Mus musculus: one gene and its partners. The protein of the gene in region 2 binds, or shares a complex with, the protein of the main gene of each other region. Links are inferred from orthologs where the notes say so. Each region holds a gene or a part of one and is shown on either strand. Other genes may lie near its edges. The genes, in order: Polr1c, Polr2e and Taf1c.

Region 1 (3,749 bases), on a different chromosome or scaffold from region 2:
AGGTCAGTTCTGCCTAACTCATAATCCCAAGCTCTCAGCCTCACCTTGGTTCCGATATTCAAAGAGACGAGGATCAGCGAGGATGGGGATGAGCCCCAGGCGGTGAGCAAGGATCTCATCCTGGACTATGGACGTGTTGTTATACACCAAGACCTTCTCCACGGCCATTGTCGGCACCTGCCCAAGGAGGCAAAGCAGACAACTGACCTCCACCCATCCCCCTGCCTGGAAAAGGAAGAGGCAGCACTTTTTCATTTTGCCCTTCAGATTCTTTTTTTTTTTTTTGGTTTTTTGAGACAGGGTTTCTCTGTATAGCCCTGGCTGGCCTGGAACTCAGAGATCCACCTGCCTCTGCCTCCCGAGTGCTGGGGTGCTGGGACTAAAGGCGTGTGGCTCAGATTCTTGATACAATGTTTACTATGTAGCCCAGACTGTCATAGGTGTGAACCACCCTACCTGCCCCAGAGGGATGGCTTTGAGAAAAGCGTCTACAAATTGATACAATTTCTACCCTCCAGCCCACGTCCTCTAATACCTCAGCTAACAGGATTCTCCGGAAAGCATTGGCGATGGCAGCATCAATCCCCACCATGTCGAACTCCAGCGTGTCTTCATCCATTTGCACCACGTCCACACGGAAATTCTAGAAGGAGGGAAGCTCCTGCATGACTCCTGCCTGGCTCCTACCCTGCACTATCCCCTCACCCTAAAGTCATGGTGCTCAGTAGACATTTTGTCTCCAGTCCTGTTCTTGGGGGCAAGGCTGTGTGTTTCTTGTTTTTTAGGTTTTTCCAAGGCCAGGTTTCTCCATGTAGTCCTGGCTGTCCTGGAACTCTGTAGACCAGGCTGGCCTCAAACTCAAAAGATCCACCTACCTCTGCCTACCAAGTACTGGGATTAAAGGTGTGCGCCACTATGCCCAATCTTCCCAGATTTTCCACAAACCACCCAGAGAAGTTACTATACAAAAAGCAGAACTTCCCACACTACTTAGACCGTTTGATACTTGCATGTCTGTTGTCGTTATTTTTTAATACCTACTTTTCTCAACTACATTCCCTTGGATTTTGAACACCAATTTCCTTATCTGCTCTTCTTTCTAAATTTCCCCTTCCACCCACACAGTAAACGTTCCTGTCTCCTAGGTTCTAATCCCCTGGCTGACCTCCACCATGCTCCTGGCTCAAGCAAGCACATAGACTTCACAAGCAGGCACCTGAGTGTACCCTCATTCTTGTTCTCCTGCTTGGCAAACGACACAGCCAGCAACAGTTCCCCAGTGCCACTGGAGAAATGGCTCAGCTATTAAGAGCACTTAACTGCCCTTGCAGAAGAACTGGGTTTGGTTCCCAGCACCTGGTGGGACCTAACATTCTCCTCACACTGCAGGGATCACTAACACACAGTGGTGCACAAATACACATGCAGGCAAACACGCATATCAAGAAAGTTTTAGGGTCCTCAAGTTACAAAGTCCTTTCTCTCACACACTGCCTCCCCAGAGCACTGGTGCAAATCGTCTAGTTCTCCCTGCCTTACTCCGTTAGTACTGTCTGGAGTTCATCTATGCCCCCAATTTCAGCCTGCATACACTAGCTGGCAGATTCACCAGAATTCATTCCCTCCTGGCTATCAAGATTGCAAAATGTTATCAGTCTACTCAAAAATTCTAAATTGGGCGTGGTGGCTCATGCCTTTAATCCCAGTGCATGGGAGGCAGAGACAGAAGCAGGTAGATGGCTGAGTTCAAGTCCAGCCTGGACTATAGAGAGAGTGCCAGGGCTAAACAGAAACAGTTTCAAAGTGAATTTTAAAAAAATCATATATAATGAAGCTCCAATCAGGCCTTCACTACTCAACTTTTATTCATAGTTCAAAGCTTAATTCAAATGCCATTCCCTTCACTGACCTTTAACTACGTCCCTTCAGTTAGCTGGATTCAGTGCATCAATGATTCCTGACCATATCCCAGCCATCTTCACCGCTATCTTACTATTCTGGAATAACTTGTCTGTGTGGTCCATTATCCCACCGAGAGCAACCACCGTGTCTGACCCGTCCATGGAGCTCAAGCGTGTTGTATGGAAACAGCGACCCCCACCCCAACCTGCGAGGTCTGGCCCCTCGGGCCGACTGGGCACCTTCAGCTCTACCCACCTTCTCGAAGCGGTTCTGGTCCCAGGCATCATCATAACCGGCGTAGTTACCGGGAAAGTCCGTGGTGTGGACCTAGAGCCAACAGAAAGGGCAGTGTGGCCAGCCTTCACACCAGGCCTCTACTTCCCCGTGCCGCCCTCATCCTTCCCGCGCCCCGATCTCTTACATTGCGAACCCCAAACTCTCCGAGAACCACGCGAGTCCGCATCTCCTCCACCGCCTGAGCCGCCGCCATCTTCCGCCACTCGCTGTAAAAGGAGGCGAGTCCGCGCCTGCGTCTCCGCAGCAACGCTCGGGCTCCCGCAATCTTGAATGTCGCGAGATCTTGCCCCGCCTCTGTCCACGTCCTTCACTTCCGGACGTCAAGTGGGGCCAAACATCCGGGTTTCTCCCTTCGGCGTCCCGGCGGATCCCCACCTTGCCCGGGCGGTCGCCCCTCTGAACCTCTCCCTCCCTCGGACCCGGGTCGCACGCTCTTCCCACGCGCGCGTGCTCCAGCGACGGGAAGCCTCGAGGGACATGGCGACTCCGGCGGCGCCGGCCAGCGGCGTCCGAAATGGTGCTGGCCCGGAATGGGGAGGCTTCGAAGAAAACATCCAGGTATGGAGCGCGCCTGCTGCCAGCAGCCCCGGGCTGGCGGCGTCCGGACGGTGGCTGCTGTTCTCTCTCGCGGGGCCTAGAGGTCGGCTCCGCTGAAACGCAGCCTGTCCCCTTTGAGTCTTCCCGGGGAAGGGTGTAGCTCTTGTGCTGGCGTGAAAGGGACAAACTAGGGCTCCCGCGGGCCTCGGCTCTCTGTGGGGGCTGGAGGCTAGGATCCACTGGCACCCCCTAAAAATAGGCTTGTTTGAGAATTGGGAATGGCAGATGGGCTCTTTTGCAACTCTTTGGAGCTTTGAGGTGGAAAGTAGGAAAACAACGTGGATTGAAAATAAATAGTAGGGTTTCCAGGACCACAAAAGTGACGCGACCAAGAGTTGCCACCACTGAAAGAGTGGCAGTTCCAAGCCATGTCCTCGGCAGTGGAAGATCAAAGCCTCAAGTTGTCAGCTGAGCGGAGAACGGGGAGGATGCAATGGAAGGGCCCCTCACTCTCCGAGCCGTTGTCTTCACAGGGTGGGGGTTCGGCTGTGATTGATATGGAGAACATGGACGATACCTCAGGCTCCAGCTTCGAGGACATGGGTGAGCTGCACCAGCGCCTGCGGGAGGAAGAAGTAGATGCTGATGCAGCTGCTGCAGAAGAAGAGGATGGGGAGTTTCTTGGCATGAAAGGCTTTAAAGGACAACTGAGCCGGCAGGTAGCAGATCAGGTAAGCCAATGGGGAAAAAAAAAAGGACCTATGCATGTCCTAAATTGATCGAGGTTTTCCACTTAGACCCACACGTAAATCTCGCCGAGACTGAATAACAATCTAGAGCCAAGAGTCTCATCATACCCATTTCCCTTCAGATGTGGCAGGCAGGGAAGAGACAGGCTTCCAGGGCCTTCAGCTTGTATGCCAACATTGACATCCTCAGACCCTACTTTGATGTGGAGCCTGCCCAGGTCCGAAGCAGGTGAGGCGCCTTCTCTGAGACATCTGTCCTCACAT
Region 2 (3,749 bases):
CACACTCATGGCTTCTTTGGCCAACTGTAGCAGCCTAAGCCCCTTGGTCTACAGGGTAGATGGTGGGCTCAGTGTACTTGGCAAAAACTTGTCTTTCCCAGTTGGGATCAGCCTAAGTTCTCAGGCAGGAACTGGTGATGATCTGTAGATGAGCTGTCAGACGCACATCAGGACAGAATGGAGGCATCTGGACTTCCAAGGACAGACCTTGCCAGTCTTGGTGGCACACGCCTTTAATCCCAACACTGAGAGGCAGAGGCAGGCCATTCTCTGCGCTGTTGAGACCTGGTCTCTATACCAAATTTCAAGTCAGCACACTCCCCCAAAGAAAAGGAGAGGGCTGGTGAGATGGCTCAGTGGGTAAGAGCACCCGACTGCTTTTCTGAAGGTCCGAAGTTCAAATCCCAGCAACCACATGGTGGCTCATAACCACCCATAATGAGATCTGACTCCCTCTTCTGGAGTGTCTGAAGACAGCTACAGTGTACTTTCATGTAATAAATAAATAAATAAATAAATAAACAAATAAGAAAGAAAGAAAAGGAGAAAGGGGCGTTCCTGTGAACTCCCATTGTATAGTTGGAAGGGTTTAGCCCTGGAATCCCTTTCCCTAGGATTCATTTTCTCACCACCTTCTCAAACTTTTCACGAGTTAGCCCACCATATACACACTTGTTTGTTCATTGTGTGTATGCCCGCACATCGATTGTTTTCATTTTAGATTTTTAGTCGTTTAACTATGTTTATCTGTGTGTCTGCATGTGGGTATAGACCTGTAAGTGTGGCCCTTGGAGGCCAGAGGCATCAGACTCTCTGGAGCTGGAGTTACAAATGGCTGGGGGCCACCTCATGTGGGTGCTTGCATCCGATTTCTCATGTAAAGTGCAGATACACTAATAAAAACTTGTATAAAAAGGGAAATTGAGGCACATGAACCTGGCTGTTCATCACTGGTCTCTTGCTTTCTTTCGAGACAGGGTTTTCTCTGTAGACCTGGCTATAGAGCAGGCTGGCCTCGAACTCACAGATCTGCTTGCCGAGGACGGGGATTAAAGGCGTGGACTACAGCCCGGGAGACGCCTAAGGGAGGGAAATAAAACTGTTATCAGGTCAAGTATCGCGAGATCTTCCCGACGCGCGACACCGCCCCGGTGAAGGCTGGGGCTGCCCAACGCGCAGCCTGTCGTGGAAAGTAGGTTTATTCCGGCGTTCACCTTAGACAGCACGAACCTGGGCGGGGGCCTTCCCAGCCCTTGGCGCAGGCGCACTGCCGGGGGGCGGGGGGCATTTTGTGCGTCCGGCGCAGGCTCCGTGCTGGCAGCTCCACGAGCGCGCGTGCACAGTTGTTTGGGAAGCGCGACAGCATGGACGACGAGGAGGAGACCTACCGGCTGTGGAAGATCCGCAAGACGATCATGCAGGTGATCAAGCGTGAGGAGCTTTATGCGAGCGAGCGTTCAGTTGCGGACTAACTGCGGGTTGTCCGCCGAGGCCCGCCTCCCGCAGGGGCCAATCCTCCTGGATTGGAATGCATCCCCGTTTAAAGTGTGGAGCCCACCCACGCTGGCTTCAACTCTTAGAAATCCTACTGCTTCCACCTCCTAACTCTGCCTCAGGGGAAAAGGCCTGGGTGGGCTCCGTTTCGGGAGAGGGGGCTGCTGCGTGGTCACACTTGGTTTTATGCGAGCTAGGTAGCCGCCCACACGAAAGCTATCAACCATCTGTAACCCCAGTTCCAGGGGATCTGACGCCCTGTCCTGATCTCTGGGGACTCCAGACACACATAGGATGAAAAAACAGTATTTTTAAAAACAGAACAAGCCGGTATGATGGTACACGCCTTTAATCCCAGCACTCTGGAGGCAGAAGCAAGCGAATCTCTTTAAATTAGAAGTCAGCCTCATCTACATAGTGATTTCCAGAATAGACAAAGTCACGCAGAGAAACCCTGTCTTGAAAAAGAAAAAGGGAATAAAAGAAAAAATTCTTGGTTGTTTTGAGTTGAACACATGAGACACCATTATTAGATAAAGAGGTATGCATAGTTTTGACTTATGCTGTGTTGGTGGAGCCCAGGGCCACCTCATGCCTGTTCCTCAGCCCTGATCCTGGATGATGCTCTAGTCTCCCTCATCAGGAACACTCAAGACTGGGGACAGGAAGGTGCCTGTATTCAGAAGGTTGCCTACAGTTGCCAGGGGATTAATCCCAGCCTGCTCCACTGAGGTTGGGGGGAGGAGAGGCTTGGCCGGGCCGCTGTGGTCTGAGCCTATACAGAGTTTGGGTACTGCTGGATCAGTTCAGTGTTAGTCCCCAGCCTCGGCCATTCAGGGTCAGGTCTGCGAGCTAAGTGCTCAGGCTGACTGCCTCTTTGCCTCTTGTCTCTGCAGCTGTGTCATGACCGTGGCTACCTGGTGACCCAGGATGAACTGGACCAGACACTTGAGGAATTCAAGGCGCAGTTTGGGGACAAGCCCAGCGAAGGACGGCCAAGGCGCACAGACCTCACGGTGCTGGTGGCCCACAACGATGACCCCACAGACCAGATGTTTGTGTTCTTCCCAGGTGAGGCCCTTGGGCTGGCAGGAGTGGTCTCCTCCAGGCCCTGGCTCAGGTGCCAGTGAATGCATGTCCCACTCTGGCCTAACGCTGCCTGTAAGATTGTGGCAGCTGCCTGCTTTTGTCCCTGTCTCCCCTGGGAAGCCTCCCTTTTGCTGGTGTCGTTTTCATCCCATAAGCCCCAGAACCAGCTCTCAGCCCTCCACCCCCTGGCTCCTATATGCTGTATTCTATAGCTTCTGCCTGGGAGTCCCAGGGCCAGCTATGCCACCCCCACACCCCCTGTGTGCTGTATTCTACAGCTTCTGCCAGCAGCGCAGGTGTCTTGTGGGAGTGAAGGCTATTGGGGAGCCCAGGACCTCCCTGTGCAGCTACATTCAGTCTCCCCAGACAGCTTGCCTCTTTTAATACCTAATGCTTTGTGGCCCCGGGACCTGGTTTTTAGTGTGAGAATTGGGGGGTGCGGGGATGGGCATGGTAGCATATGCCTGTAAGCCCAGTGTTTGAGAGGCAGAGGCAGGCAGTCGAGGCCAGCCTGGTCTATACAATGACTTCCGGGACAACTATGGAGGGCATTGGTTCTCAGCCTTCCTGATGCTGGGACCCCTTAGTACACTTCACATTGTGACCTCCAACCATAAAATCTTCATTGCTAATTCATAACTAATTTTGCTACTATTATGAGTCATAATGTAAATATACCTGTGTTTATCCAGCAATTTGCAAACTAGGTGGCCTGGGTCTGCTCCTGCGCTCTGCCTGAGGAGACAAGGCTAGCCTCATGTAGACACAGGGTCCATCTCTTGGTCAGTCAGTTTCTCCTTGAGGCTGTCTAAGCTGACAGTACCATATCCCCCAAACCCCAGAGCTGCTGAGAGCCCCCACCCCCGTTCCAGGGGGGCCGCAGTTCCTGCATACCCTGCAGCTTCTGCAGTGATAGCTGAGCCCCCTGGCAGCCCCATCATGGCTGCCTTGATGTTCTAGTCTTCCCTTGCAAGCAGAGAAACTAAGACCACAGGCTCCAGTAGTGAGTGTGAGGGTGGTGCTTGTGTGCCCGCAGAGGAGCCCAAGGTGGGCATCAAGACCATCAAGGTATACTGCCAGCGCATGCAGGAGGAAAACATCACACGGGCGCTGATTGTGGTGCAGCAGGGCATGACGCCCTCCGCCAAGCAGTCCCTGGTGGACAT
Region 3 (2,515 bases), on a different chromosome or scaffold from region 2:
CACCTGCCTGGCTGACCTGTTATATGAAGCAGCTGCAGCTGCCCACCCTGGCCCCCCAGTAGCAGGGGCCGTGGATGGCCAGGGCTAGCTGGGGGTAGCAGGCGGGCAAGCAGGGGAGCAGATGGCAAGCCATGGTCCCACTTAAGCATGGGCACCAGGGGGAGGCGCTCATCCATCAGGTAGATCGAGAACTGAGGAAGAAGAGAAAGGTGAGACTAGTGGATACCTGGTACCAGCCTCCAATAACCCTCTCCAGGCCACACAGCCTGCAGGAGGTGCCCAACACCCAGAGGACAGACGGCACCCCCACCAGCCTTCAAGTCCCGCCCAACTTGGCCTACCCAACCTAAAACATGTATTTTCTGGGCTGGGTTCTCAGAAGTCCCTGACATCCATCCCTACACTCCCAACAGTAGACACTTGCACCAACTGGGGTCCTGAGCCAGAGTCAACCTCTGCTGCCTCCCAGCTCCTGATCTAGGTTTGCAGATGACCCATTCCACCTGCCTCTAGGGAGACCACCTGCACGGGGACCCATCATTCCTGGGTTCCTGTGGCTGTGCCTCAGGCCTGCTGGCCGAAGCTCTGGTGAAGCCTGGATCAGAGCCCAAGGAGAAAGAAGGCTGCCGCTCACCTGGGTGCAGATGAGATGCAGAGATGGAGGGGTCTGACCTGGCTGCCCTAGGTACTGGGCAAGCAGCACCCGCTCTCCTTTCTGGCAGGCAGCCTCTGCTCCAGCGCGGAACAGCAGCAGCCCACAGCCCGGTGGGCCCTAGACGAAGGACAGCATGCTCAGCCTGAGTCTTCAGGCTGGAGATGGGCCTCCCGCCTCCTGCTTCTCCTCACCCTCTCAACCGATACCTGAATGTCAACCATTTTCACACCCGTGCGGTCCCCCACAGTCAGCACCCGGGGGTGGGCAGTGAAGTCTGCCCAGCGCCAGGGAGACGGATCACGGAAGGCAAGCGTCTCGGTGTCCTTGTAGATCGTCTGCAGCCTTGAGGAGGAAGGCAGGCCATGAGTGTGGGCCTGGTGGGGGCTGGGGGCGCAAGGGTGTTGAGGGGCTGGGCTAGAGGGAAGGGAGACTAGGGCCATGGAGCGGAAGGCCGCGGTTCTGCTTTAGAACGGAAGGTTTGGGGAAGAGTAGTTACCCAGCTTGTGGGGTCCACAGACAAACAGCTCCGGAACGGCTGCAGATGGCCAGCTCTCCTGACAGGTGAGGGCTACAGAGCACAGGGTGCTGCATTATCAGCCAGCAATGCAGCCCTTCTCCCAGACCCTTGTCCGCACCGGGAAGCCCACATCCTTTACCTGAGGCTAATACCAGTGGCCCCTTTCTCCACCTGCATCACCTGCAGGAGTGCTGGTGGCCCCTGCTTATCAATCTTCCACGTGGCACAGTGATAGTCAGAGCGGACGGCCAGAAGCGCTGGGGGGGACAGGGAGGTCAGGCCTGCGGAGTGTGTGTGTAGGAGGGTGATGGTTGCACAAGGAAGAGGGAGTGAAGAAATCTTACTTTCTCCCTGGACGGTGCTGGTCACCACCTGCCGTACAGGTCCCCGCAGCTGGACGTGCCCAGGGTTCTCAAGGATCCGGGGGTTGCCACCTGAAGTCACACTGACCTCCTGGAAATCTGAGCCCCTGATTAAGGACTGGGGGTAGATTCTGGTTGCCCCGGCTCACTCTTTTCCTGGCCCACCCTGTGGATGGTGTCAGCATCCCCACCAAGTGAGAAAGGATACACAGCTTGTCCAAGGCACCTCCACTAGGGTAGACCAGCTGTCCGGCCCGCGCTGTCCTTCCGGGCAGCCAGGCCAACGCGCCCCCGGTGAAGGCCTCATCCATCAGCAGCTGCTCCCAGCGCATGGCCAGCTCTTCATGCAGTAGCTTCCCCATGAGTAGTGACACTGACCTGCTCAGGACAGGACCCCCAACGATGGAGAAGCGACGCAGCCGGCGGCTGAGGGAAGCCCAGGGACACCTAGGGACAGAGCAGCAGAGGATAACACTGGGACAGTGAAGGACACGCAGAGAACCTCTTCCTTAGCTGCCTAGAATATACCCTTCCCTGTTCCTGGACCCCAAACCTTGAATATCTCGGTGCCTCCTAGCAAGTGCCTCGCAGATGTTCCCAGTCAAGGCAACCATAGACTTCTGGGGGTTGTGTGGTAGCTCGGAAACTGACTCTTCCCTTGGAACAAGTAGCCATCCTGTTGCTGCTTGAGTCAGGTCAAACAGAGGGATGGAAGTGGACGAGAGAGCCCTGTCAACACTCCGAACACCTGGATGTAGCCACGCCTAAGGTTTTTTTTTTTTTTTTTTTTTTTTTTTTACTCAAAGTGATTTTATTGCTTGTGCACACAACAGCGTTTATGCCACTAGAGCAGAGGCTGTGGATGACTCATATTTCCAATTGGGTGGGAGCACCCGCTTAGTCTTATAGTATCGAGCCAATCGGTGAATTCTGCTCTCTATCAGAATCAGGCGGAATTTAGCATCCTTATCCTTTCTGTTC

Evidence for each region.
Region 1: Polr2e (region 2) and Polr1c share a complex: the UniProt entries of both Homo sapiens proteins name them as parts of the pol I pre-initiation complex. The link is inferred for Mus musculus from reciprocal best matches to the Homo sapiens genes POLR2E and POLR1C.
Region 3: Polr2e (region 2) and Taf1c share a complex: the UniProt entries of both Homo sapiens proteins name them as parts of the pol I pre-initiation complex. The link is inferred for Mus musculus from reciprocal best matches to the Homo sapiens genes POLR2E and TAF1C.

What each region holds. Positions count from the first base shown.
Region 1 is NC_000083.6:46,245,572-46,249,320, forward strand, and holds the start of Polr1c (DNA-directed RNA polymerases I and III subunit RPAC1), read right to left. Parts: upstream 2,475-3,749; 5' UTR 2,393-2,474; coding exon 2,324-2,392; intron 2,230-2,323; coding exon 2,158-2,229; intron 644-2,157; coding exon 536-643; intron 178-535; coding exon 45-177; intron 1-44. Other genes in the region: protein YIPF3, read left to right, coding at 2,677-2,757, 3,270-3,467, 3,608-3,714. UniProt on the Homo sapiens protein: DNA-dependent RNA polymerase catalyzes the transcription of DNA into RNA using the four ribonucleoside triphosphates as substrates.
Region 2 is NC_000076.6:80,037,255-80,041,003, reverse strand, and holds the start of Polr2e (DNA-directed RNA polymerases I, II, and III subunit RPABC1), read left to right. Parts: upstream 1-1,344; 5' UTR 1,345-1,364; coding exon 1,365-1,421; intron 1,422-2,390; coding exon 2,391-2,565; intron 2,566-3,619; coding exon 3,620-3,749. UniProt on the Homo sapiens protein: DNA-dependent RNA polymerase catalyzes the transcription of DNA into RNA using the four ribonucleoside triphosphates as substrates.
Region 3 is NC_000074.6:119,599,800-119,602,314, forward strand, and holds part of Taf1c (TATA box-binding protein-associated factor RNA polymerase I subunit C), read right to left. Parts: exon of another isoform or gene 2,088-2,515; intron 1,982-2,087; coding exon 1,743-1,981; intron 1,634-1,742; coding exon 1,517-1,633; intron 1,430-1,516; coding exon 1,312-1,429; intron 1,224-1,311; coding exon 1,152-1,223; intron 998-1,151; coding exon 862-997; intron 773-861; coding exon 635-772; intron 192-634; coding exon 17-191; intron 1-16. UniProt on the Homo sapiens protein: Component of the transcription factor SL1/TIF-IB complex, which is involved in the assembly of the PIC (pre-initiation complex) during RNA polymerase I-dependent transcription.